Mus musculus: one gene and its partners. The protein of the gene in region 2 interacts with the protein of the main gene of each other region in a biochemical or structural test. Links are inferred from orthologs where the notes say so. Each region holds a gene or a part of one and is shown on either strand. Other genes may lie near its edges.

Evidence for each region.
Region 1: of the proteins of Atf2 (region 2) and Mapk11, one has a biochemical effect on the other in vitro, tested with the Homo sapiens proteins (4 studies listed by BioGRID and IntAct). The link is inferred for Mus musculus from reciprocal best matches to the Homo sapiens genes ATF2 and MAPK11.
Region 3: the proteins of Atf2 (region 2) and Crebbp form a complex in vitro, tested with the Homo sapiens proteins (2 studies listed by BioGRID). The link is inferred for Mus musculus from reciprocal best matches to the Homo sapiens genes ATF2 and CREBBP.
Region 4: the proteins of Atf2 (region 2) and Fos form a complex in vitro, tested with the Homo sapiens proteins (3 studies listed by BioGRID and IntAct, with this or other methods). The link is inferred for Mus musculus from reciprocal best matches to the Homo sapiens genes ATF2 and FOS.
Region 5: of the proteins of Atf2 (region 2) and Mapk9, one has a biochemical effect on the other in vitro, tested with the Homo sapiens proteins (4 studies listed by BioGRID and IntAct, with this or other methods). The link is inferred for Mus musculus from reciprocal best matches to the Homo sapiens genes ATF2 and MAPK9.
Region 6: of the proteins of Atf2 (region 2) and Mapk1, one has a biochemical effect on the other in vitro, tested with the Homo sapiens proteins (3 studies listed by BioGRID). The link is inferred for Mus musculus from reciprocal best matches to the Homo sapiens genes ATF2 and MAPK1.
Region 7: of the proteins of Atf2 (region 2) and Mapk13, one has a biochemical effect on the other in vitro, tested with the Homo sapiens proteins (2 studies listed by BioGRID and IntAct). The link is inferred for Mus musculus from reciprocal best matches to the Homo sapiens genes ATF2 and MAPK13.

Annotation. Positions count from the first base shown.
Region 1 is NC_000081.6:89,146,807-89,150,964, forward strand, and holds the start of Mapk11 (mitogen-activated protein kinase 11), read right to left. Parts: upstream 2,801-4,158; 5' UTR 2,708-2,800; coding exon 2,592-2,707; intron 33-2,591; coding exon 1-32. UniProt on the Homo sapiens protein: Serine/threonine kinase which acts as an essential component of the MAP kinase signal transduction pathway.
Region 2 is NC_000068.7:73,844,140-73,847,639, forward strand, and holds part of Atf2 (cyclic AMP-dependent transcription factor ATF-2), read right to left. Parts: intron 2,237-3,500; coding exon 2,058-2,236; intron 1,415-2,057; coding exon 1,300-1,414; intron 438-1,299; coding exon of another isoform or gene 430-437; intron 1-429. UniProt on the Homo sapiens protein: Transcriptional activator which regulates the transcription of various genes, including those involved in anti-apoptosis, cell growth, and DNA damage response.
Region 3 is NC_000082.6:4,115,905-4,119,404, forward strand, and holds part of Crebbp (histone lysine acetyltransferase CREBBP), read right to left. Parts: intron 3,318-3,500; coding exon 3,129-3,317; intron 1,765-3,128; coding exon 1,351-1,764; intron 54-1,350; coding exon 1-53. UniProt on the Homo sapiens protein: Acetylates histones, giving a specific tag for transcriptional activation. Mediates acetylation of histone H3 at 'Lys-18' and 'Lys-27' (H3K18ac and H3K27ac, respectively).
Region 4 is NC_000078.6:85,472,463-85,476,689, reverse strand, and holds the start of Fos (proto-oncogene c-Fos), read right to left. Parts: upstream 2,801-4,227; 5' UTR 2,651-2,800; coding exon 2,510-2,650; intron 1,756-2,509; coding exon 1,504-1,755; intron 1,099-1,503; coding exon 991-1,098; intron 874-990; coding exon 232-873; 3' UTR 1-231. UniProt on the Homo sapiens protein: Nuclear phosphoprotein which forms a tight but non-covalently linked complex with the JUN/AP-1 transcription factor. In the heterodimer, FOS and JUN/AP-1 basic regions each seems to interact with symmetrical DNA half sites.
Region 5 is NC_000077.6:49,870,751-49,874,250, forward strand, and holds part of Mapk9 (mitogen-activated protein kinase 9), read left to right. Parts: intron 1-1,983; coding exon 1,984-2,149; intron 2,150-3,085; coding exon of another isoform or gene 3,086-3,157; intron 3,158-3,500. UniProt on the Homo sapiens protein: Serine/threonine-protein kinase involved in various processes such as cell proliferation, differentiation, migration, transformation and programmed cell death.
Region 6 is NC_000082.6:16,982,008-16,986,181, reverse strand, and holds the start of Mapk1 (mitogen-activated protein kinase 1), read right to left. Parts: upstream 2,801-4,174; 5' UTR 2,556-2,800; coding exon 2,443-2,555; intron 1-2,442. UniProt on the Homo sapiens protein: Serine/threonine kinase which acts as an essential component of the MAP kinase signal transduction pathway. MAPK1/ERK2 and MAPK3/ERK1 are the 2 MAPKs which play an important role in the MAPK/ERK cascade.
Region 7 is NC_000083.6:28,767,857-28,772,116, reverse strand, and holds the start of Mapk13 (mitogen-activated protein kinase 13), read right to left. Parts: upstream 2,801-4,260; 5' UTR 2,708-2,800; coding exon 2,589-2,707; exon of another isoform or gene 2,527-2,588; intron 2,107-2,526; coding exon 1,977-2,106; intron 960-1,976; coding exon 901-959; intron 1-900. UniProt on the Homo sapiens protein: Serine/threonine kinase which acts as an essential component of the MAP kinase signal transduction pathway.

The DNA of each region.
Region 1 (4,158 bases), on a different chromosome or scaffold from region 2:
CCTTCTGGCGCAGCCGCGCGTCGTAGGCCGAGCTGCAAGGTGGGCGAATGAGGAGAGCAAGCGCCTGGCCTGAATCCACCCGACGCTGGGTGCGGGAGTGAGCCTCTGTTGCTAGCTCTAAAACCTAGGAAGCCTGTCCCCGCCTGCTCGCCCCGCGCTGCCTCCACGCCGACCCTCCTGATCCTCCCTTAGGAGACCCCTTTGAGTGGACAAAGCGTTCTCTGGCAGAGAACCGGTGATTCTAGCCCAAACCTGAGCGCCCCCCCCCCCCCCACACACACACACAACAAGGCCACGGCATGGAAAATACCACGACTGTACCCACAGGCGCTCCCACAGCAAGCAGCCCTCCTCCTTCCTCACGGATGCCGTGGGAGGCTTACCTACAAAGCCCTGGACGCCCCACCCCCACGCCTCCGCACATCAGATTGCGGAAGCAAGATTATCCGGAGGTGTTTATTGCTTCCTGATTTGTAATTGAAGCCGAGTGTGGTGTTCATGCCTGTAATCCCAGCTCTTGGAGAGAGGGAGAGGCGAGAGAATCGAGATTGAGTTCAAAACCAGCCGGAAAACCTAGTGAGACATTGTCTCACAAGAAACCAAACCAAAACAAACAAAAAAATACACACACACACACACACACACACAATTTATAACTCAGCAAATGGATAGTAGGAAATGTTTAACCCCAGTGTGAAGATGTCTCTGACACACTTCCACTCCCCCAGAAACTGGACCCGCCACCTCTGCACCTCTTTACCCTTCTATCCTTCACCTGGAGAGCCTCGAAAGAGCAAATGAGAGCACGCTTTCTTTGTGGGCGGGGCCTAGGCCACGTGGACTGAGCGGTGGTCCTAAGGCTTTTCACCAGGTTCTGATCCCTCTGCCTCAAGACCCGGAGCAGCTGCGAAGCCACTGAAGGAGCCCTGGCTACAGTACCTTTACACAGCCTGCTCCCCTGGTGATTCCTGTTCCTTCTCTCCCTCGATTCTCTTCGTCTCAGGATGCACCCTTCCCTTGCAGTGGTGAATGGAGACAGGGTACCACCCATTCCCACCAGGTGAGGGAAGATGGGGAAGGGGCATGGTGGTTTGGGATGCTCACGGAACTAGAGAGTTGTAGAAGAAAGGTGGCTTTCCTATGATAAGCAGAATGTCTAAGTAACTTCTGGGGTGGAGGTGGGTGGGGAGTGGCCACTAGAACAGCAGGATCCTCTTACTTGACTGCCTCTGTACAATCAAGTTACAAGAAGTTGGCATCCCATGGCCTGCCTCAGCAGGGTGACTGAACAAACCCAGGGTCACGGATCAGCGGAGACAGACCTAGGTCTCCCTTGGGAAATCTGGCTTTTCCCTGGTAACTCCTAGATGGTCCAGCCCCGAGACAACTCCATCTGAGTCAATGTCCAAGTCCCCTGCAAAGTATCTGCTTCACCTTCCTCCCTGCCCCCTCCAAGTCCTCCCTGGCTCTCCTTCCCTCTAATTTATTGTATTATTTTTTTAAAATGTATTTTCGTGTAACCTTATCCTCCTCCACTTGCTGAGTCCCTGAACATCCCAGACACAACATGTCCCATCATCTCTTCCTCTGTCCGACTCCTTGGGTATGTATGGGTGATGGAGTGGGTGTATCCTGTCTCTACTCACTGTGGAGGGCTGGGGTACAGCCTGAGAAGCAAGAATAAGGAGCGAGTGTCGGCAGAACAAGCCTACCCATCTCAGTGGTGGGTTTACAGGCTGCAGACATGGGGCGAGATCCCATGACCAACTCACTCTGGGCCCTGTAAAGCAGGACTGTTTGCCTCTATAGGGTTGCAGTAGCAGTACCGAGGCTTCGGATGACAGCACCGGATCCAAGATGTGAGACTCAGCCCCCATTCCCGGTGTGGGGCACATACCAGTGTCCACACCCTTGATCAGCCCGTCAACAAGGGCTATCTACAGCCGTTCTCCAATCCCAGGTGCCTGGATGCTGCCCACGATCGAGACTGCAATCTCTGGTCTCCAAGCCCTACCTATATTCTGAGATCCTTTGTTGGGTAAACTGGGGTAGGGTGTAGACAAGAGAGTAGGTGTCCGCTTAGGCTCAAGCCGCTGAGCTTCTAGGAATCTGGAGGCGCGGGTATGATCCACAGGAAAATTTTGGTGTCTTCCAAATTAGAAAGGTCTCCTCACCCCGCTGGGGGTCCCCTTTTCAAATACTTAGTCTGAGGGGAACGTTAGACCCTGCAGCTACTTAGACCTTGCCCGAAATAACCCGGATGGCTGACTGTTCCATTTAGCGGCCCCAGAGACTTGCTCTCCCGCCAGCTGTGACGCCGCAATATTCAGTCTTTTGGGGAAAAACTAGGAAAGGGATCGGAGATGGGGGGGGGGGAGAGGGCATTAGAAGACCCCCCCTACCTGCCAGCGAGTGGAATCTAGTAGGAAAGTTTCCTCCGTGTCCCCTCCCCCCCATTCATTCATCGGAAGCGTGCAGACCGGGGGCGGAGGCAGGGCGAGGCCCCTCCCCACGCCGGGAACCCCACGTCGCGCTGGAGGGTCGCACACGCTTTCCCGCCCAGCTCCCACCAGGTCCTTGCCGGCCCCTACCAGACTGAGCCGTAGGCGCCGGAGCCCACCGGGCGTAGGCCCTGCAGCCGCTGCGGCACCTCCCATACTGTTTTGTTCAGCTCTTGCCGGTAGAATCCCGCGCGCGGACCCGACATATCCACAGAAGCAGCTGGAGCGAGCGCCCCGGATCCCCGCGCGCAGCACCCGGCCCGCGCCCCACGCCCAGCACCGCTGAGCAAAGCGGGGTGGGGGCTGGGGGGCGGCGGCGCAGCAGGGCGGGACGGCGGGGCGGGGCCGAGGCCCGGCGGATTTCCCCAGCCTGGAGACCGGAGGGCGGGGAAACGGGGGTGGGGTGGGGTGGGTGGAGGTTGAGGGTTCCCGGAGACAGACGCACAGCTTCCTGCCCCTCGGAGACCGTGACAAAGGAAAAAGCCTGCTTCCCTCCCATGGGGGTGACGATGAAACTTCTTGCTTGTACTCCTCCACCTTCATCTTCTGCATATTACCTACCCCCTCTGCCCTTCCCCGGGTCCCAGGCCAGTCCCCTTCCTCAGAAATGAAGGGAAATTGTCAAAAGTGAGCTTGAGCACGTGGTGATAATACTTTCAGAACAACAACAAAAAACATTAGTGGTGGGGGGAGGGGGAAGTAAAGGCTCTAGGTTAAAAAACCAGCGCCACGGCGCCAACTCAGGGCACCACTGAGGAAGGCGCCTTGTGGCCAGGGTGAGGAGGACGCCCCCGTTTGGCGTTAATGGTTCACCTCCTAGTAGACTTACTAGGTCTTAGTAAGTGACGGAGCCTTCAGGAGACAAGACGACATCTACTCCCCATGTTGCCCTAACCTCGACCCAGAAGCTCCTGGAAGAGGTAAGCTCCCGGCGGGCAGTCAGGACCAGGGACAGCGCAGCACCATGATTGGGGCCACAAGTATGGTCCCCACATGGGCCTCTTTTTAGTACTGGGTATTTTTCCTCCTTATGAAGCCCTCTCTTCACTGACACTCGGGAAACGCCCCCAGCCTTGACTTTCTCCAGCCACTAGCACAAGGCGACCCAGGAGGTCTACCAACCCTGGCAGGCATAGTTCAGTTTGTCACCAAGCCTAGAAATCTCCCTTTTCCTGGTGTCCAGGGTGGATGCTTTCATGTCCAGTAAGGCCTCACCCATGCCACTTTAGGCCAGTGGTTCTCAACCTGTGGGTCACGACCTCTTTTTTTTAACAGGTGTCACCTAAGACCATCAGAAAACACAGATATTTACAATTCATAACAGTAACAACATTAGTTACAAAGTAACAACAAAATAATTTTATGGCTGGAGGTCACCACAACATAAGGAACTGTATTAAAGGGTTGCAGCATTGGAGAGTTGAGAACCACTGCCCTAGGCCCTACTTTTATTCACACTTGAAAGTAAACATGGAGCAGAGTGTGGTGGTGCACGTCTTTAATCCCAGCACCAGGAGAGAGATGCTGGAGTACCTGGCCAGCCTGATCTACATCCTGAGTTCCAGGGCAGCCTGAGCTAAATCGAGATTCTGTCTCTAAGCTGATTCCTTTCCCCCATTCCTCCTCCCAATAAATTGATTATGGGTTGAGTGTCGTG
Region 2 (3,500 bases):
AAAACAACAACAAAACCCTCCAACTATATTCATTACATGAATGACTAAGGCTTAAAGTATTCTTTAAGAAAGTTTCAAATTATATATGTATCATAAATAATTTAGGGAAAATGAAAATAGTATGTTTTAGACAACTTTGCTAGATATCTAAAAGTTCTTTTCAGGATGAAAATGTAAAATGTTGGAAGACTAATTTGAAAGTATGAATAAAACTATTTTTGTGAAATATGATATGAAAAAGAAAATTTTCATCATTTCAAATACAGTGCTTTTACATAACAATTTAATCTTTCCAATTGTGTGTACATGTATTTATCTATGGGTGGGCATGTGTGCCAAGTTCTCACATCTTCTATGGCAGGAGCAATAGTCAGTTGTGAGCCATCTGCAATGGGTGCTGGGAACTGAACTCATGTCCTCTGCAACAACAGTGCAAGCTCTTAACCACACAGCTCCAGCATTTTTTTTTTTTTTGGTTTTTTCAAGACAGGGTTTCTCTGTATAGCCCTGGCTATCCTGGAACTCACTCTGTAGACCAGGCTGGCCTTGAACTCAGAAGTCCACCTGCCTCTGCCTCCCAAGCACTGGGATTAAAGGCGTGCGCCACCACCGCCTGGCCCAACATTATGTTTTTAAATGTTCACTAGACAACTCAATATAGTTAATTACTTTTTCTTTATTTCCCAAAATTTGAGTATTTAGTGTGTTTCTCATAAAACTTTTTTTTTTGGATTTTCTCACAACAGTAACCCAGGCTGGCCTAAAATGTATTATTTAGCTGAGGCTAGCTATGACCTTCTTCTGACCCTATCTTTATCTGTTGACTATTGGGATTCCTGGCATGTGTCATCAGGCCAAGATATGAATGTTTGGACTTTAACATGCCTGGGCCACTAAACTTCATGTAACCATAAAGGACAAGTGTGTTTTTTGAAGAATTTTTATAACTATAAACACCATAGCTATTTGCCAGCATTCCAAAACAAGTATCTTAAGAAATATTTGAATTTCATAAACCTAGTCAAACTGGAGTGAGGTGAATCAAGAAATAATGCAATAAGAATACAGAAAACAAGAGTGGGCTGGGGGTAAAGAAAGGTTTCAATCCAATTATGTTTGCCTAGAATATTATAGTCGATTACAGGTAATGATGAATAAATACTACTCCCAATTAATAAACACTTGATAAATTCCATTTTGTAAGCCAATCAAGCAGTTCAAATATATTTTCTGGTTATTTTACCCAGACCAGTTTAGATACAAAGACTTAAATTTAAATGGTCTAACTTTCCAACTTACTGGGACTGCAGCTGGAACATGCACATTAGAACTTGTAATTGATGCAGGAATAGCAACGGGCATGGTTTGTCCATTAGGAAGATGTAAGAGAAGAGGAAATGGGCCTGGTACAGGACTAAGAAAAACAAAACAAGGGAAAAATGTAAAGATCCATACCAACCACCTCTGCAAAGTAACAGTCTTTTCCCTCCTATTGCTTAAAAATAAGTTTTCTAACCTTAAAAGGGCAAATTACAAAACTTAGATATTTTTAATTGCATCTTAAATGCATAATCTATGTAAGAGTGTTTTTTTTAAAAAGCCTGGGGAAAAATCATGGATTTCCAATTTGTGAAATGAGAAAATTTCTCATCAGAAAGGTCTTGGGAGTTACTTTTAAGAACTGAGACAAATGTCATCTTGAAATGGAATAGCTTTGTTTTGTGTCAAAAACCATAAAAGTAAGACCATCTTAAACTTATAGTCTATTTTCATTATTTTAGCTAAGATTTAGATATTTATTGTCCAATGTGTTAGATAATATTATTTTTAAAATATTAAAAGTTTCCAAAACCCAAGACAGACAGATCTCTTTCTCCTTTTTTCTCTCGTGTAGCGCGCGCGCGCACACACACACACACACACACACACACACACACACACACACACACGTTTTAATTCAAGTAATTAAATATCCTAGGGAAAACCATAAAAAAACAAAACAAAACAAAAAACCCTAACAACTCATGTACAGTCAGTGAGTGACTGGAATCACTTACACAATTGGCCTGTTAGAGGATGGTGCCTGGGTGATTACAGTACTTGAGGTTGGTGAAGGTACTGCTTGTTGAATAATTACACTTGAGTCAGAACTTGTGAGCAGCACATTGGGAACCTGTAATGATGCTGGACGAACGATAGCTGATGTGGGCTGTGCAGTTTGTGCCAATGGTACTTCCTATTTAATTTTAAGATAAATAAAGGGTAGTATTTAAAAACGCAAGTTAATTCATGTATCCCAGTGAACAGAATGTAACACATTTATGAAAGCAACCACTAGATAATACTTAATGCCTCTACAAGTAAATTAATATCTAAAGTTAATTGAAAATATCTAAGCAGTTGTAAAGTTCAAATGTAATTCTTAAAATTTAAAAAAAAAAACCCCAAATCTGTGTTTTTGGTTCAATGTGTTTATTACTCTAAAATAAATTAGGCTGGGCTACTTGGCAATGTTTCTGTGAGAATTTCAGTAAGAAATACAAATACAATTTACTGTCAGTAATCAAAAATCAAAACCTGCAAGGGATTGTCCTATCCTATTTGCTTATTGTATTACAAAATCAAGAAACTGATCCAGCAAGATAGTGCTATGACTTAAACAATTTGGTGTTCAGATGTGGTGGTGATGCACGTCTTTGATCCCAAGGAGACAGAGGCAGGTGGATCTCTGAGTTTGAGGCCAGCCTGGACTATAGAGCAAGTTCCAGGACAGCCAAAGCTACACAGAGAAGTTCTGTCTCAAAAAAACAAAACAAAACAAACAAACAAACAGAAATGTTTTAAGACATTTTAAATTAAGAAAAAAAAAAGTCTGCTAATCTCAGGTAGTTTTTCATTTGGTAACATTAATTTTCTAGTATCAAAAGACCAAGTGAGTCATACAAAATTAGCAGGTAGAGCTGAGAGCTTTCCAAACTAAAGAGAAATAGAATTTATGAATCAGCCAGGATGATTGTTAAAATATTTCCTATTTTTTCAGATTACAAAAGAGATGAGGGCCTTACCCAGAACTCCCTAACTATTGTATCCTTTTGAACTGGCCTTTATATAGCTACTTTCAGTTGGAGTCTTAGTAAGATACTAGGAAGGAGAAATTAGTAGCATTGTAACTACAGTTTTCAGCACATCTAAAAACTTCCAACTCAAGAACTAGTGAGCAGAATGACAATGAGTAAAACCATCACAGAAACTTCCTACCAGAAAGGACATTAAACATTCTACAATAAATAATGATTTAGCAGAGGGTAAGGTAGAGCTGGGCACTGTAATAGTGAGGAAGAAAACCTTGCAAAAAGAAATCTGATCTGATATTGAAAGAATCAAGAAGAGGCAGGCTATAGAGAAGGGGGAATGCTAGGCAGGAAAACCTTACAATATTTGATGGATAGAGAGAGCAGGAAACGAGGATGGATGAGTAGACAGTCAAATCAATGAGGCTT
Region 3 (3,500 bases), on a different chromosome or scaffold from region 2:
ACAGAGGAGGGAGTAGGGACTCTATTATCAATGCTGGCTGCTGCCTGAGAAAGCTGCAAAGAAATCACAGTCATTCACCTCTGTAAAGGAGAGCCATACATGTCCTCCCACCGCAGTCTGCTCATTATTCTTCTTTACAGCCTAAGTACTTAGTGTGAACACTGAAGGGCAGAGGCTCCCTGAGGAAGCTTAACAGTCAGTCACTGAGTGTCAGAAACACAATGACTGACTTCTTACCAAAAATGAAGAGCTGGACAAACAGAGTTTTCTAAATTCTGACATAAAATTATTTTCTCTCTGCTTTCAGACTGGATTATTTTACCATTATTTTTCTTCACTAACATTCCTATTTATGGAGAAAGGCAAATTATAAACTATTAAAAAAAGTATTTACAGAGAGGTCATGAAATAATGGCCCATATGAAGCATCTATCACAGGGTAGTGATGGTGGTGTAGTAAGCAAACACTCCACTACCATGTAACAGGCTCTAAGCAGTACATAAATTAATAAAGGAAGATTGAAAAATTAAATACAAGTATCTTAGAGGGCATAGGATGCAGCCAGTGGCAAAGTGCTTGCCTAGTGTTTACAAAGGCCTGGTTTGAAGTCAGGAAACATAAATAATTGGAGACAAAAACAAAGAGAGTAAGTATATGCCCTTATAGAGAAAGCAAATTAGTAATGTCATCTTTGCAACTGTTGAATGATTTTGTTATTCTACAAATATCCTAAGTATCTAAGAACAGAATTAATGCAAACCTGAGAGGAGGGGATCTGTTGTTTCATTATAAATAAAAAAAAAAAGTCATGTATTCTGAAAGAAGGCTGATTAGCCTGGACCTTTATAGTCTGGAGCGAAGCATGATAACTAAACCCACAGAACTAAGCACAAAAGCAGTCAAACCTCGACAGTATTACTCTAGAACAAAAACCAGGTAAAAGAATGGCAGCACACACAGTTCAATAGTTCTGTCCATGCTGTGACATACTGATGATTACTGACTTCTATAAACCACTCTGACCAAGGGAAACTGTAAGCCATACCTTTAGGGCCAATAATAGTGGGAACAAATCAGTTTACTACAATTTCACACACACACACACACACACACACACACACACACACACACACACACACACACACGAGTTTTTCGCACCAGAGCAATTTGCTATAGCATCCTGACAGACAGAATAGTCTTTTATTTTATATTTATAGATAAGAGTCTTACTTCCTAGCTCTGGCTGGCTTCAAGCTCACAAGATAAGCCTGCCAGTGCTTTGAGTGCCCGACAGACCATTCTTAAGGGACTCTGTACAAGTGTGACTTGATAAGGACAAAGAGGCTCACCGGTGTGCCAGGAGGCTGAGTATGCACAGGCGTTGGTTGCTGCTGTGATGACTGAGGAGTAGCCACAGATGGTGGCTGCACTGGGGTCTGAGGCTGTGGAGTCACCTGAGCCTGTGCTGCTGCCTGGACTGTAGGGGTACTCTGTGTTTGGGCAGCGCTGGGCACTGAGCCAGGAGTTGGGGTAGGAGTCTGCCCAGATGACACAGGAGTAGATGGCTGAGTGGGAGCTGCTGGCTGAGGAGGGGTCATTCCTGGTGCCGTTGGATGTTGGAGAGAGGGCATGCCAGCAGCTGTGGAAGCAGGAGGTGGAGTCGGGTGCAATGGTGACTGTGTCACTGGTGGGCAAGGCAGCTGGCTGGCCTGGGGTGCCAGCATGTTCAGAGGGTTAGGGAGAGCAGCTCCAGGTACCTGACCCTAAAAGAGATAGTAAGAATATATAAAAACTATTTTACCCAATTGAAACCATGAGGGACTTGTAGAAAAAAAAAATTATACTAGTTTCTTAACTAGTTCTGCTAGTTTCAGGAGGATATTGCATTTGTAAAACTTCAGACTAACCATTTATAGCATGCACCACACCATGTAATAAAATTAGCACTAAAATCCTTCTCATACTTTGACTTATAGAACTTCAATATCAGGTTACAATAGTCATGGCTTAGGCACATATTTACTTAGTTTACTAACTTCATGTTTTGCCACATCTACTTTTAACTTAGACCACAGAAAAAGGAGTTTTGTTTTGTTTTTTAAATAAGTTGAGACAGTAGAACATAGAGCACTGGGGAGACCCCTAACTTTAAAAAAAGAATCACAATGGCTGTTCCAGAGAGAAATTTGACCTAGGTACCACCAACAGTTTTATAGGATGACAACCACAAGGAGATTACACATTGTCTGTAACTACTTGTACACGGTTAAGAGCAGAGCTAAACAGTTACGAACGACTAGGAGTATGACTCTGGAAAGAGAACATATTTACTATCTGGCTGTTGAAACTACTGGTCACTGTGGCAAATGACTGAGATATAAAGAGTGTAGCCTGGGCTACATGGAGAGACTCTGGAAAGGGAATAGAGTTGGTTTCCTTATCTCTGTTCTAAAGAAATGAAATGATAGGGAAAATTAATCATCCCCGAGTAAACCTAATATATTCAACAACGCATTCAGCATCAGCTGAGTGTTTAAAAGGACAGGACTTTTATATTTTGAGAAAGATTTAGCCTATTTGAAATACTTTGTATGCAGCTGACACTTGATGCACTACCAAAGTGAGGGAAAGCAGTAAACTGGATGGGAACTCAGCTATGACTAAGTAACTGGAACATGCTCATGAGAAGAGTGCTATTCCCATGATTCTGACAGCTCTGTCACCCCAACACATAGTTAAGATACAAAAAACTAACCAAGTCACTAAAAGAAAATTCACCCCTTCTTAAAATTCCAGTATTTCTCAGAATGACGTTAATCTTAGATTTCTAAAGCACACAAACAGCAACCAAAATCCAAAGGTAAAAATATAAGAGTAACAAAACAAACTAACAAAAACCAAAACCAAACAAACAAAACCCCCACAACCACAATCCATTTTACTTTATGTGTGAAGTTTACCTAGAGGGAACAAGAAAAATTAAACACAAATTAAAAATTATAGGGCAAACGGGAAATGGAAAGATGTATATTCTAGAATTCTAGTTTCCATCAACTAAGACAGGATCATGTCACAAAGGCTGGGGCTATATAAATACTGGTTGACCAGGCTCCCTCAGTGAATGTACCTGTGAAACACCTGCCTGGGCTGCTGGTTGCCCCATGCCCACACTGTTCACACTCATTGCCCCACTGGATGATGGAAACTGGTTCTGTGGCAGAAACTGGTTCTGAGTAGGTGCCTGGGCCATAATGTTGTTGGCATGAGTGCCCATCATATTTGGAGGCTGAGGCATCCGTGAAGGAGAAATGGCCATCTATAAGACAAGAATCAGAAGTGTTAGGTCAGAGTCTTCAAGAGATCACAGTACAGTGGAGATCCAAAGCCTTACAAATCTAGTACACTTTGGTTTTAAAGACCACTACTTCCCAGGGACTCCCCAGTTCCTAGGCACTTTCTACAATTTCTCAAGTCAATGCTGAACTGTCTTCAGAATGGC
Region 4 (4,227 bases), on a different chromosome or scaffold from region 2:
TGTTTTGTTTTGTTTTGTTTTTGCTACATCTCTGGAAGAGGTGAGGACTGGAGGCCAGATGTGGATGCTTGCAAGTCCTTGAGGCCCACAGCCTGGTGTGTTTCACGAACAGGTAAGGTCCTCCCTAGGTCGACGGGAACCTTCGAGGGAAGACGTGTTTCTCCTCTCTGTAATGCACCAGCTCGGGCAGTGGCACGTCTGGATGCCGGCTGCCTTGCCTTCTCTGACTGCTCACAGGGCCAGCAGCGTGGGTGAGCTCAGGGAGTCGGAGGAGGGCTCGTTGCTGCTGCTGCCCTTTCGGTGGGCAGCGGCACAGCTTGGGAAGGAGTCAGCTTCAGGGTAGGTGAAGACAAAGGAAGACGTGTAAGTAGTGCAGCCCGGAGTACAGGTGACCACGGGAGTACACAGGGGCTCCAGCTCTGTGACCATGGGCCCCATCCCCAAGGAATTGCTGTGCAGAGGCTCCCAGTCTGCTGCATAGAAGGAACCGGACAGGTCCACATCTGGCACAGAGCGGGAGGTCTCTGAGCCACTGGGCCTAGATGATGCCGGAAACAAGAAGTCATCAAAGGGTTCTGCCTTCAGCTCCACGTTGCTGATGCTCTTGACTGGCTCCAAGGATGGCTTGGGCTCAGGGTCGTTGAGAAGGGGCAGGGTGAAGGCCTCCTCAGACTCTGGGGTGGAAGCCTCAGGCAGACCTCCAGTCAAATCCAGGGAGGCCACAGACATCTCCTCTGGGAAGCCAAGGTCATCGGGGATCTTGCAGGCAGGTCGGTGGGCTGCCAAAATAAACTCCAGTTTTTCCTTCTCTTTCAGCAGATTGGCAATCTCAGTCTGCAACGCAGACTTCTCATCTTCAAGTTGATCTGTCTCCTGCATAGGGAGAGATATAAGAAAGCATAAGACACGGGCATGCTCAAGGACCCTGCGCCCATAGTCCCAAGCTCCAACTTTAATAAAGTTTCAGGAGCAGCAGCTGGTTCAACCTACCGCTTGGAGTGTATCTGTCAGCTCCCTCCTCCGATTCCGGCACTTGGCTGCAGCCATCTTATTCCGTTCCCTTCGGATTCTCCGTTTCTCTTCCTCTTCAGGAGATAGCTATAGAAGAAAAGGACCAACATTCAGTTAAGGTTGTCTAGTGTCACCTCCATTCAGTCACCCCAGTGAAACTGGCTCCTACAGCACCCGCACCTCTCGGTGAAGCAGTTTTTCTAACCTGCAGTTGGCAGGCAGAGTGTGATTTGCATTTAAAGTGAGATCTTTAGCAGGGGAACAAAGAAGCTCCCCGGCTAGAGAATGAAGTAGGAAGCTGTCAGGGAAACTGTCTAGAGTTTGTCTTGGGTCCAACTGTCAAAATCTGACAAGGGAGGGAAAGGGCTAGCAGCCACAGCTCCTGGTCAGGAAGTGCAGTCAGTAGCGTCCCTTCTCTGTTGTGTGGTCTGTGCGTCAGTCTCCGCCCCCCCCCCCCCCCCCAGCCCACAAAGGTCCAGAATCGCTGCTCACCTGCTCTACTTTGCCCCTTCTGCCGATGCTCTGCGCTCTGCCTCCTGACACGGTCTTCACCATTCCCGCTCTGGCGTAAGCCCCAGCAGACTGGGTGGGGAGTCCGTAAGGATGGGGCGCTCTGGTCTGCGATGGGGCCACGGAGGAGACCAGAGTGGGCTGCACCAGCCACTGCAGGTCTGGGCTGGTGGAGATGGCTGTCACCGTGGGGATAAAGTTGGCACTAGAGACGGACAGATCTGCGCAAAAGTCCTGAAACAAAACAAAAAGAGGAAAGCGGAGGTGAGCGAGGAGGTTCCAGACACAGGTGGAGCAAGTGGCCCTAGTGTCGCATGAAGCAGGGAGAGAGAAGCATTCCGGTCAGAGACTGCTTATGTCTTCCTGTATGCACCTCATCGGAGATAAAAGCTCTCCCAATATCCTCCCTTGAATTCCGCAGCGCAGCCTTTCTCCTCCATCCTACTGCTGCGTTCCCGTTATCCCTTCGGCATCACTCGCTCGAAAGGGGGTTTGTTATAAATATCCCTGACGTCTGCGCTGACGCAGGCGCTGCTCCGGAGTCTCCAGAATGAACTCGCTTTTTATCAATGAAACTGCCTTACACACCCGCCCGCAGCACCCTCCTCCCTCCTCCCTCCTCCCTGCTCCAGGCTGCCCCGGGAGGGGGGATTGCCGCGGTTTGCCGCCTCCCAAACTCTAGTTAGCGACTCTTTGCTCGAGACTTGTTGGCCCCGGCTGATCTCAGAAACAAGTCGGCCGAGAGAAGAATGCAGGCAGGCCACTCAGAATAAACCTGCCGCGCGGGAAGGGGTCACTAAGTCTTACTATGACAAGTGTGCACGCGCTCAGACAAGTCCTGGGTTCCCAGGCTAAGGCTGCTCTGACCGCGCCAGTCTCCCTCCAGAGCGAAAAAGGAAGACCCCCCCGCCCCTGCGAGTCACACCCCAGTGTCTCCTCCACGGCGACCCTCAGCGCGGACCTGGCGGCTACACAAAGCCAAACTCACCTGTGTGTTGACAGGAGAGCCCATGCTGGAGAAGGAGTCGGCTGGGGAATGGTAGTAGGAAAGGCTGTCCCCGGCCGGGGAGGCGCTACTGCAGCGGGAGGATGACGCCTCGTAGTCGGCGTTGAAACCCGAGAACATCATGGTCGAAGTTTGGGGAAAGCCCGGCAAGGGGTCCAGGGGTAGACACTGGTGGGAGCTGCAGAGCAGAGCTGGGTGGGAGCGCGGTCACTGCTCGTTCGCGGAACCGCCGGCTCTATCCAGTCTTCTCAGTTGCTCGCTGCAGTCGCGGTTGGAGTAGTAGGCGCCTCAGCTGGCGCCTTTATAGAAGCGCTGTGAATGGATGGACTTCCTACGTCACTGGGCGGAACTGGAAGGGGGGGGAAGCGCGCCCCAAGGCCCTCTGCGGGCGCTCTGTCGTCAACTCTACGCCCCAGGCTTTCAACCCCCGTCTTGGCATACATCTTTCACCTATGAGTGTTCACATTTGGGATCTTAGGGGGTCTCCTAGACCTTCCGCGTGTAGGATTTCGGAGATGGTCCCCCCCCCAGAACAACAGGGACCGGCCGTGGAAACCTGCTGACGCAGATGTCCTAATATGGACATCCTGTGTAAAGGAGGGAGGGATTGACGGGAACAGCTCGCCGGCTGCAGCCAACTCTGAGGGTGCAGCGCAGGGGGGGAACCGGGGCCGCGGCCGGGGGAGGGGAGGCGGGAAAGGCAGAGAAGGCGAGCGAACATTCGCACCTGATTCAATGTGGACCCGGTTCCCAGGGTCAAGGGATGAGACCCGGGTCATTGTCCAGCAATCTGGAACTTTTTTTTTTTTTTTGAGTCTCTGGTATTAGGAGAAGCAAGTACGCAGCCTTAAAGGCTCGAAGCCTCTGTTCCTAAAGGAAAGCTTGCCCACATCAGCCCCCCATCCCAAATCAGTGCAGAGAAGAAAAAGGGGGGGTCAGCTTCTCAGCCCCTCTCTCCAGCTCCTTGCCTGGAGAAACTTTAGGACTGAGGTTGGAAGCAGCAAGTGAAGGATTGTAAATAAGTGTACAATAACCTGATTTAACTACAGTACTGGGTTCATTCATAAATTCGTGTTTTAAAGGACGGCAGCACCTACTCCCCGACCCTTAGCCACTTAGAGCTATCAAGGCGACAGTCCCCGTTGACACTGACGGATAAACATTGTGCAAAACCACCCTACAAGTATGCCTGAAGGGGTCGTATGTTTAGTTTTGAGCTGAGACCAGAGGGCGAGTCGGGGCAGGGGGGGAGCTCAGAATTACAAAGTGAGGTGAGCTCGGGGGGGGGGGGGGAGGAGAAAGCAAGTCGGTGCTGGGGAGATGGGGGTCTGAATACGTGCAGCCTGGAAACTGCGCTTACAAGGAACCCGCCTGCAGCGGGTGATTTTCCAGATCGGACTTGGGAAGGGGGGTGGGGGCGCAGAGGGGACGGGAAGAAAGGTTCCCAGCTGTGCCGAGATTTTGGCGTCTGGGACCTGAGAACAGCTTTGAGTCTTGGAAGATGGAACTTTGAAGAGGTCAGGTGCTTCAGTGTAGAACAAACACACCCCTACTTGCCCTCGGCCTCCTGTCCTTCCGCAGAGGACAAGCCGGGTTAGACTGACTGGGCCGGTCACCTCTGGGATAGGAAACCGCAGATCCTCGCAGAACTCATGTGTCCCCCTCGTCTCCATTCTGAGGGTCCCAAGGGTCAAGCCAAA
Region 5 (3,500 bases), on a different chromosome or scaffold from region 2:
GAGCCCAAAGTAGTGTATGTTTTGCTTAGCACAGTGTTTAGAATCCATGATGATCTGAGACAATGTTGTGTGTCCACCTTGCTCCCTGCCTAGCTCCCTGTCTTACCGGTTCCTTCTGGATCCCTTGTACACTCTTACCTCACACACTCACATCTGCGACTGCTTGGGAAAGGTATGAACGTTGTCATTGAGATGTTCCAAACAACCCTCAGGTACATCAAACTGGATGACAGGCCTCTGTGAGTGAGGAACCCAAGTGAGCCTCCGCATGGCAGTGTATGGTCCCCTTTAAATAGGGCCTCACATAGAGAAACATACCTTCACTTTTGCTGTTAATGCAATTTGTCACGCCTGTCATGGAGAACTCAGGATGAGAAGGGTCATCAGTTCAAGGTCAGCTTGCGCCATATAGCAAGACTCTTGTCTCCAAGAAACAAAATGGCTTCACAATAAATAAAACTTTTAATTATTTGAAAGTTTTAGAGTGAAACAGGACAAAAGGTAAAGTTTTGTCCCTCGCCCTTACCACTTTTACTTTATATAAATTCACAAAATTGGGGAAAATGAAAACCTCTCTCAGCCCTGCAGCCACTTGGAGACGCCCACAGTAGCAGGCTGCCGAGCTCCTTCCAGCTTTGCACAGGTGCTTCAGTGCTCACCTGCGCCAGTGCCAGCCAGCCCGCCTGCCCAGTGTCTGTCCTTCACAGTTTCAAAGTCGGACTCCTCTCAACAGAACCAAATCAGCAAATGGGTTGATTTGCATTTGTATTCATCAAGGATCACATGGTTGCATAAATAGTTATGAAGCCTGCATTCCCTCTTCTTTCTCCTATTTCTGTCTCCTTTTGAAGCAAACTTTGAATTTAGTTTTTGTTATTTAGAATTTGTTATTGTTGTTTGTTTTGGTTTTGGTTTTTGCCTTTTTTATGTGGCGACAGGGATGAAGGCAGAGCCTTGTGCATCCTAGGCCAGCACTCCATCACTGGGCTGTGTCACCAGCCTGACTTTCCGTTCTCTTAATGAATTACTCTAGTGCTCGTTTCTGTGTCTCAGGGCAGTGTGTTTAGAGCTCTTTGACCTTTTTCAGTTTGTGACATAAGATACTGATATATTCCTCGTCCACAAACCCAGCCGTCATCCCTGTGACCCTCTTCCCCTACCTTCCCACTTTAGTTACAATATGGCTCTGTTTGGTCAGGGTTGTGATTTACATCCTCATAAACATGAAAGTTTCTCATTTGGCAGGCATCAGCTGGGATGCCCCTTGCACAGACACCCAGAGCTTTATTTCTATTAGCCTAGCTGGCCAGCAGATGGCAGTAAAGTAGACAGCTGTTCCTGTCACCACACTTTTTAGGCGGGTATGGTCTGGACCAGGGGCTGTTTCCCCTTCTCTAGGGCTCATTGACAGATGAAGGCTTTCACTGCTGAGTGGTTTCCAGTGCTGCGTGTGTACTGCGTTTGTCTTCTTTGGAAGCGGTGCTGCTGTGACTGCCCACGCGGCTGTGCTGCTTGTCTGCATGCTCAGGCCTGCTAGTAGTAAGGTGCCTCCATACTCTTGGGGTCTTCATCCATGCATTCAACTGGCTGCAGATCAGGAGTATTTGGAAAACAAACATTTCATCTGTACTAAAAACAGACAAATTTTTGTGTGTGTGTAATTACTCCCTATATAATAGCATTGCTTTAGTTATTATAATCATCTAGATATGAGTTAGACAATCCCAGAGGTTGTGTGTAGGTTATATGCAAATGCCATTTCATGTTATGTGAGAGACTTAGAGGCTTTCAGGTTTTGAGCAAAGAAAAACATGGCCACCTGACATGTCTAGAGGCAGGGTCTCAGAAGCCATGTGCCTACCTACCCTCTTTCCCGTTCTTACACACTTCAGTAGCCGCTCATCTCACAAGCCCTTGTTGGTGTGATACTGTGTAGTTAACATGCTGTGATTCATTTAAATACGTGAACAATTTCTTTTCTAGGATTTGAAGCCTAGCAACATTGTAGTAAAATCAGACTGTACCCTCAAGATCCTTGACTTTGGCCTGGCGCGAACAGCCTGTACCAACTTTATGATGACTCCCTATGTGGTAACTCGATACTATCGGGCTCCAGAAGTCATCCTGGGCATGGGCTACAAAGAGAATGGTAAGTACAGTTAGGACTCCAGACTGTAAGCAGTGAGGTAGCATTCCCACCGTCACTGGCACGCCCTTCCACAAGGACCATTGGAGACAGTTTGAGCACTGTGCCTGCAGGCCACAGATAAGAACAGTTTCTTTTGTCTTCCCCAACTCTGGCTGGCCTGAAACTGCCATAGAACTCTGCCAGCCTCTGCCTCCCAAATGCTGGAATTGAAGGCATGTGTCACCATGCTGAACCTCAATGTTTGATCACAGAGTATTGTGCACTGGAGCCCCTGTGCCTCTCTCTCTCCGTGAGCAGGCCCATGTCACCCACAGCACTGAGACCTCTGTGCTCTCATTACCCTGGTTGCCAACACTGAATGGCTTCACTCGTTTTTGTAATAATATGAGTGGAATAATGTACCGTGTTTTCTTTCATGTAAAGCTGGTATTTTCTTAGATCAAAACTTCACCTGTTCTAGCTGTGTCAACTAAATAAATGCTAAACATTAGCTATTAATAAATTCATGTGATTATTTATGAAGGGACAACAAGGGAGCTTTGCTGAAGTCTTCTGAGATGAGTCTGAGTGTGAATTTTTGTACATATTTTGTCACCTGCTCTGAGAGGCACAGTGCCCCTCAGTAGCTGTCTGTGCTTAGCTCTCCCTTCCCTGTCTGAAACACAGGACTCAGTCAGGCCCCATGCTCAACTCCACACTAGAGGGCAGTTACTACAGAGCCATGCTCAAGCAGGGCCTTACCCAGAGTCCAGCCCTTACTAACAGGCTGCCACCTTTCTGATATGGCCATTTAAAAAATGCTCATTCAGATGTGGTGTCAGGAGTTGACAGAAGTTCTACCCAATGAATATTTGCTGGGGCTGCCCATGTCTGGGAGGTGGTTTAGAAACGAGATGCGAGGCTCTGGCTGTTTTTTAATCACCTGATATTTGGTAGTGGACATCTGGTCTGTCGGGTGCATCATGGCAGAAATGGTCCTCCATAAAGTCCTGTTCCCAGGAAGAGACTGTATCCTTCACAGGGAGAGACCCAGTACTTGGCCCTGGAGGCTGGGGTGGGGCTGGGGATGTGACCCTGAGAATTTTGTGTTTATTAGAACTTTCTGTGTCTGGTTTTTTGTTTGTTGCTTTTTTTTTTTTTTAAGCTGTAAAGTATTGGATTCTTTGGCACTAAAACTACAGATTGCTGCAAACTGGAGGCTGAAGGAGAGGTCAGCAACCATTCATATTGTGTGAAAAGCGCACCCTTAGCTAGGCACTGATATTTCCATGTCTGTGTGTCCAGTACACTGTTAGAATCCCTTTCTCTTCACTTTTGTTTTGTTCATGACACTTCATAATTTTATCATTTC
Region 6 (4,174 bases), on a different chromosome or scaffold from region 2:
ATCTATCCTGCACCCCACCCCCACATTTTATCTTTTTGTCTTCTACATAATGACTAGGAAGGGAACTTGAACAGATAGGCACTATTCCCGGAGAACTGTTTTAGGGAAATCTTGCTAAAGAACAGCTTAAAATCCCTTAAATAATCTTTTTAAAAGAGTTATTCTTAAATTCAGTTTTTAGTGTGTGTCCCCTAGTGAGTTTTCTATGCACCACGTGAGTGTAGATGCCCTTGGAAGCCAGGGGTTGGGTAGGAGTGTCATCTAATGTAGATGCAGGAATCTGAGCTTAGGTCCTGCAAAAGCAGCAGATGATATTCAACCACTATGCCATCTCTCCAACTTTTTAAAGATCACAACTATTCAAGTAGATACTTAAGAAGCTGCCATAAACTCAACATTGATGAGATGCTAATGACATACAATTAAGACTATTAAATAAATACTAAGATACCTAAGATATGTTATCAATCTGGAGATAAAAGGCTGATGTTAGGATTTAAATTCCAATTACATCTGCATTTTTCTTAAAATTAAAATTTGTAGGTGCCAGGTGGAAGGCAGAGGCAGGTGCCAGCCTAGTCTAAAAACTGAGTTCCAGGACAGCCAGGGCAACAACACAGAGAAACCCTGTCTTAAAAAAATGAATTAACTTTATTTTATGCATATGAATGTTTCGCTTGAATGCATCTCTATGAGAACATCTCATCTTCTGGAACTGTAATTACAGACAGTTGTGAACTGCCATGGGAATTGAACCCAGATCAGCCAGTGCTCTTAAATGCCGACTCATCTCTCCAGCCCCTAAAATTTGAATTTTAAAAAGAATTCTGCACAGCAAGTGGAAACTTCAAAGGTGAATAGCAACAGGATCTAAATAATCCATCTTCTCAGGGTGGTGGGGAATGTGTGAGTTCAACTGACAGATCCTAATTTTTTTTTGTCCCTACTTAAAATAATCCCCCCTTAAATAAATGAGCCTATAGTGGGTAATCATGAGTGTCAATAATAAGTGTTACTGGCATATTTACCAGCAGGTACAGGGTAGTAATACATGCAAGACAAATGTGATATGGAAAGTACTTTTTCTCCATTCCTCTTTTGACTTGCAGGTCCAGTTCACTTTTATCTTCGTAATTGTATACTATGAGACATTTTGCTCATAAAAATATAACTATTCATGAGTCTTTTCTTTAAAAAAAAAAAAAAAGAACGTTAATTATTCTATCTTGTTAGCACACTTGGTGAAAACACACCTTTTCTGGCATTTCTAAAATTATGACTATTCAAATTTTAATGCATTTCTGAATAGACTTGTTCATCAGGAAAATATGCCGAAGTCCTGAGATTATTAAATCAAGGAGAGGCCTGTGCAATAGCTCAAGAGCTGAAGCATTTAAAACAGGATCTTTCTACAGCAAAGCTTGATTCTAGTTCTTCGCCCTGTAAAAGGACTTCCTTTCAATACCTTATCTGAAAAAGGCTGTCTTCTCTTTCCTCAAGATAGCTAAGTTAAATTAAACTATCTCAGAGACCTTCGATAAATGAACTTGTTTTAGTTAAAACAATACACTTCAACATTCCACATGCAGGAAATCCTGCAAGTGATCGTGCAAAAACTATTCTTGAACACTGAAACGTTATGGGGAAACGATCACAGTAATCGGGCTAAAACATATGGATACATTCACACTGTTAAGAGAGTACTCTTGAGGGTAACGACGGGATAATTTAAAGTCAAATTAGGACTAACTCCAAATACTTCTTAATAATTCTAGAGTGATGCTGGCTTATCCTTTCTGAAACACAATCGGTATATTTAAATCCATTTTGAAACTTCAAGATTTCAATATGTCCACAACCAACGCTGTGTCATTAACGGTTAAGCCCGAGGCAGAAAGCATCATTAGCGCTACTTAAGATATTTTGTGAATGCTGTTCACGTACACAGAAGAGAAGAAAAATATTTTGGTGCTCAGCACACAAGCCTATTATTCCGTCTTGCAAAACCATGGCCGCCGCCACCACGGACAAGCATCTAATACAATTCCTGGCTTTAATCTAATGTCAAGAGGCGGTGGCTATAATGCTATAAATTAGGAGACACAGTGTACTTCCGTTCCCGTCCCGAGGGAGAAGCCTCGAAAGTACGCGCTTTAAGACCAAGCCCCGGAGTCTTCGAGTCCTGGCCTCAATCGGGGTTGCCCCTCCAACCGCAAACGAGAAGCAGCAGAGGAAGACGAGGAGCAACACCTAAGCCTCGACCGGCTCCAGGACCCCGCCCCAGGGCTCCAGGAGTGAAGGCCAAGAAGCCAGGGGTCCGGGGCGCCGCAGAACGCGAGGCCAAGGCGCGGGAAGGGCCGTGGGTGCGTCCAGATCAGCCACAGGCAGGGGGCACAGGGTGACCGCGTGAGGCCGGGCCTGAAATCCAGCGCGGATACTCACCAAACCATGCCGTAGGCGCCTTCTCCGATGTACGAGAGGTTGGTGTAGCGCGGCCCTACGTCGAACACCTGCCCGCGGACCATCTCCGGGCCCGCCGCCGCCGCCGCCGCCATGTTGGCTGCACAGCCGCCGCCGCCGCCGCCGCCGCCGCGTTCGGTTCGACGCTTCGCGGCTGCCGCTCGACTTATGCTGCGCTTCCCGCAGGAACCGCGCTGCCGCCCGTGTAGCCGCCCCCGCCGGCGATCGGGAACGAGGAAGGAGGACAACACAGAGGAGAGAATTAACCGCCGGTAGAACCACTGCCAGCCTTCCTGCCTGACGGGCGGGCTACGAGTGGGAGGAGGGAAGGGTTCGCGTCGAAGGGCGCTAGGGCGGAGTCAAGGGCGTGCGTGTTGATTGGCTTCTCTTGGTAGAGAGGGCGGAGTCTCGCGGGTCGGCGGAAGCAGCGAGGTGAGGCAGGAGCACTGCGGCTGCGGGGGAGGGACGTCATGTGCGCTCGGAGACCCAAGCGCTGGGTAGCTCTAGAGAGCTAGGTTGGAATTTAGGCATAAGGACCCCACAGAGTCCCACCCACTGTCCTGGTGCTGTGCCTGGTCCAGAACGAACTCACACGGGACCAGGGACTTGGCTTGAGACCAGAGGACTCACTGCACACCAACCACGGGACCCCTGAGACAGACCTCTAAGAATACGTGGCCCACATTGTGCACTCTGATGAACTTAGACCATCAGAGTGGGACAGAAACCAAAAAGCATAACCCAGACCCAGAAAAAAACTTTCACCCTGTAATGAGCATAATTTTAAAAAATGCCTTTTAGACATATAAAACTAGATTAAGCAGGAATCCCACAGCATCCAAGGCTGCTCCTGATCCAGAGCTCAGTGACATCACTCACGCAAGATAACCAGATACAGTCCTAGAACCCCATGATGCCCACTGGACAGAATATAAGCAGAGACCAAAAGCAGTGATTTGCTCTACACATCTGGAGAGATACACCTTGATCTGCTCTGTGGCTAGAGAATCCACTCCCCCCCCCCCCCCCCCCCCCCCGCCAGGGTCCTGATCCTCAAATCAGAAACCTGATCTGAAGCTAAGATAGGTGACACAGGTGACCTTGGGGAGACAGGCTTAGGACTGTAAGAAATTTAGACTGTAAACCTTGCATGATGACCTTCAGCATAATAAAATATAACTTTTGTTATACTAACTACATATATCTACCTTCTTGCCCGTGACACACACCTAACAGTGTGAGACATAAGTAAGCAGAAACCAAAACACAAGACATTGAATCCCCTAATTAGAGGTTTGTTCAAGAAGATTTGCTGAATATCTACGGCACTGGAGCCAGCCATGCTTCCAGAGTGAAAAGACAGACAAAATACAATATTTGCACTTAAGTGTTGTGAAGAAATAAAAAGCCAAGGGAAAGTATAGAGAGCTGTGGGTAGGGACACTGGAAAAAGACATAGAAATTTGGGGACTCGGGTCCAGGTGTTGTGCAACAGTTTCCTGAAGGACTGAAACATTCTATGAACTTGAAACATTCTAACTTGAGGGGAAGCTTCTGAAATAGTAAACTAAAAACTAAAAGCAGCAAGGCGGCATGGTGCCTCACACCTTGATTCCCACCACTTGTGAGGCAGTGGCAGGCAGATCGCTTATGAATTGGAAGCCAGCCTGGTCTACAGAGTGAGTTCCAGGATAGCCAAGAATATGCAGAGAAA
Region 7 (4,260 bases), on a different chromosome or scaffold from region 2:
GAGGCAGAGGCAGTCGGATTTCTGAGTTTGAGGCCAGCCTGGTCTACAGAGTGAGTTCCAGGACAGCCAGGGCTACAAAGAGAAACCCTGTCTGGAAAAAAACAAAACAAAACACCTTCCACTCTTAGTGGGCTGGGGACATAGCTAGGCTGGTAGAGCTCTTGCCAAGCACGCACAAAACCCCGAGATTGATTCTCAGCACCAGTGCCTGGAATCCGAGCTCTTGAGAATCAGAGGCAGGAGGATCAGAAGTTCAAGGGCAATCCTTGTCTACATAGGTAGTTGGGGGCCAGACTGGGCTACAGGAGAGGTCCAATTTAAACACATAAACACACAAGGTACCAAAACACTCCCGCAGCCTCTGTAGCATTGACTAGGATGTGAAGCCTGGCAGAAGCTGCCACTAACACCTGGAATTCTCAGGAACATCCAAACACCCATCCTTGCCCAGGCACCTGCCAGCAAAACCGGACACTTTGACACTTTGTAACAGCCAAACCCCATCAGCCAGATTGTCCGGGCTATCTGATCCTCACTTCCTTCTAGGGGAAAAAAAAACCCTCTAGGTATCATGAAGTCCAAAGTCACACCTGGCCACCAGGAATGGGTGAGGAGAGTCAGTACACACCCTGTGAGGGCCAGCAGCTCTTCTTGGTGCCAGGGTCTGATAACAAGGGTAGGAGCTGTGTAGACAGCTCTGGGGGGGGGGGGCAGGTACCCTACAGCCCTTCCACCCACAGCCAAGGGACCTCTCCAGGGAAGATCTCAATGTAAAAGCAGAGGCACAAGAACTGCTAGGTGGGGGGGGACGGACCCCTTTCTGCGCGGAAGCTACCCTGCCCCAAAGTATTCCCGAGCCAGCCTTAAGATCTGCCAACACCCCAATCCAGCCCGACTCACAAATCATGGAAGCTCCGAAGGGAAGACGCAGGGGTGAAGACATCCAGAAGCCCAATGACCTGGAGAGAGGCCACCAGTGAGGGTGCGCTGCCAACGCCATTCTTCCCTGTCCTGAGGGTCTCAGCCACCCAGGGCCACCATCCAGGTCACCCTCTGCTACGGAAGGTGGCCCCAGCTGGCATGGGAACAGTTTGGGGGCCCAGGCAGAAGAGGACATTTGCCTGGGCTGGAGAGATGGCTGAGAACAAGGTAAGTTTGATCCCAAATTTGGGGTTTGGGGTGAACAGTCCCACTTGTAACTAACAAATCTTGAGGGTCAAGGGGGGAAGAGGAGAGAAGGATGAGAACTCCAGGTCCTTGGGACTCTGGACCTCAGCTCTAGCCTTGGACCCCGGGTCTCTAGCCACATCTGTCAGTCTGTCCAGAGCTAGAGGCAAGTCCCCTCCACCTCGAAGCTGGAGGCCACTGAGGAAAGGTTATCTGAAAGGATTAGGGTTCACGATGTACAAGGCTCTATTTGAAATGGACCCTAGCCCTTCTGCCTGGCCCAGAGCTGGGTCACGGGGTCTGTTTCCATCAGACAGGATGGTCAAATGGTCAGGCACCAGGCTCTGCCTCCCGCCCCTTCCAACCTCAGCTCTGCCGCTGCAGAACCGGGGAAACCTTTCTGTGCCTTGGCATGTGTTACGGAGAGGATTATAAAAGTTAGCCAGCCCCCACCCCCGCATGCATTAAATACTCAGTATTTATTGTTAGACTTAGAGTGGCCAGAATGGAGGCAGCTTTAGCTCAAGTGCCCAGGCTCATCGGACTGGAGTCCTCACAGAACCAATCGCGAAGCTCCCCTGTGCCTACTTCCTCCTCACAATCAAGAAAAGGTTGTGTGTTTTCTGGGAAGCGAGCTGGGCAGGCCCTGGCATCTTCTCATTGGGCTCTCCTTAGAGAGCTGAGAAACCAGGGTGGAGCAGAGGAAGTTCTTTCTCCTGGCCCTGCGCGCACGACCCTGGGCAGGCCCCTCCTGGGCCCCTCTCCCTGCCCTCCGATCCCCGGCACATCCACACCCCGAGGCAGCCTACGTTCTCATGGTGCATGTGCTTCAAGAGCAGAAGCTCGCGGTAAGCGCGCTTGGCAAAGATCTCCGACTGGAAGGGCCGGCTCAGCTTCTTGATGGCCACCTTCTCCCCTGTCCGCTTGTCGATGGCCGAGCTGCGGGGTCACAGGCAGGTGAGGGGGAGGGGCGGCGCAAAGGGCCTAAACTGGAGATCCCTCCAGCCCTGTCCTAGGCCACCCCCATTCTGTGCTCCCCAGGCTGGCCGGAGACCAGCAGAAAGAGAGAGAGAGAGAGAGAGAGAGAGAGAGAGAGAGAGAGAGAGAGTGTGTGTGAGTAGGGGGCGACGCCAAGGAAGGGGCGGCAGAGCAAGGAGAGAAGCAGTTCTTGCTGACAGGATGCAGAGCAGGCCAGGAGTCCCTGCTCTGCGATTTGGCAAGTTCCCCTCTTGGGGCCTCATCTGCAACCGCAGGGATCTGTCCCACGAACTCCGAGATCCCTTTTAAAAAGTTACAGCCTTGGAGAACCAGATTCGCCAGCGACTCAACCCACAGGGGCCCCACTGCCACCGGGCTCACTCGGGGAGGCTGCCGAGGGGTGGCCCGTGGCTCCTCTGATTCCTGGGGTCCCCGGGTCTCACCACACCGCTCCATAGGCCCCGCTGCCGACGTGCGCGGGCGCCAGGTAGGTCTTGGGTAGCTCCCAGGCAGTCTTGTTGATGTCCTGCTTGTAGAAGCCCCTTTTCCGAGTGAGGCTCATCCCGGACCCCGTGGTGGCGGTCCTGCGAGGAGGTTGCGGTGGCTGCCCGCGGGCTCCCGGCCCGGGTGTCCCGCCGCGGTCCCCTCCCGCCCCGCGCCCGCTCCTCCCCCGTGGGGCGGCGCACCTGCCGCCTCGCCCAGGTACGTTCCCGCCCCGGCCCGCCCACCGCTCGCCCGCGCTCCGGACTCCGCCCATCACCGGCGAACGCCCCAGGCCCCACCAGCCACCTGCTGCAGGTGCTGAGGGAGGAGGGGGGTGCCCTGCGGGAAAGGGGTGCCTGCGAGGCTGCCTAGAGACTGTAGGAAGAGTTGGGAATGGGGTTAGGGCGCGGGGGGGGGGGCGCTCAACTTGTTGCTAGTTGGGCTAGTTTAAGAAATATACCCTTCACATGTAAGGCGTGGTGGCTCAGGTCTGTACTCAACACAGGAGATAGAGGCAGAGACAGGAGAATTGCTACGATTTTGAGTCCAGTTCAGTACATAGTTCAATGCCAGACTAGGTGAGACCCTGAGGAAGAAGGGAGAGGAGAGACTAGAGAGGAGAGATACAGAGAATGAACAGAGAAGGAAGAGAGGGATAGAAGAAAGGAGGGAGAGATAGAGAGGGTGGGAAGAGAGGGAAGGGGAGAAGAAGGGAGGAAGGGAGGGAGGAAGGAAGGATAGAGAAATAACGTCATTCTTGACTACGCAGTAAACTGGAGACCAGCATAGGTTACATAGTGAGACCCCACAGAAAGATGGAGAGGTTGTTCAGCAGGTTAGAGACTGCACCGCTCTTGAGGATGACCTGAGTTTGGCTTCCAGCACCCAGGTCATCATGCACATAGTTAAACAAAACAAATAAGCAAATAAATAAACAAAAATAGGCATCGTGGTGCACACGCCTTTAATCCCAGCACTTGGAAGGCAGAGGCAGGTGGATTTCTGAGTTTGAGGCCAGCCTGGTCTACAGAGTTCCAGGACAGCCAAGGCTACACAGAGAAACTCTGTCTCAACACCCCTCCTCCCAGAAAACCCTCCGGAGATCCCCAAACAACAACAACAACACAAGAACCCTACAATTCATGGGGTTCTACATGAGCTCCTGTGACCCCAGGACTCTTGTCTTTTCAGTAAGCAGGACTCTCAGATCCTAAGGCTCAGCGACTGACCAGGGCTCAGACTCTATTCCTCTTCCCCATTTTTCTGAAACAAACTCCAGGCATCCAATCCTTCTTCTCATGAGAGATTTGCTGTCTTACACCCAGAGTCGACGGCTGCTAATTCTACAGTCCCCAGAGTTCACAAAGATTTAAACATCCACCGGAGTTTGTTTGATACTGGTGGTGATGGTTTTGTTTTGTTTTTAGCTTTTTAAGATTAATTTATTTTATGTATATGAGTACACTGTAGCTGTCTTCAGACACACCAGAAGAGGGCATTGGATCCCATTACAGTGGTTGCTGGGAATTGAACTCAGGGCTTCTGGAAGAGCAGATAGTTCTCTTAACCGCTGAGCCATCTCTCCAGCCCGGTGGTGATGTTTTTATTGTTGTTGTTGTTGTTTTCTCGAGC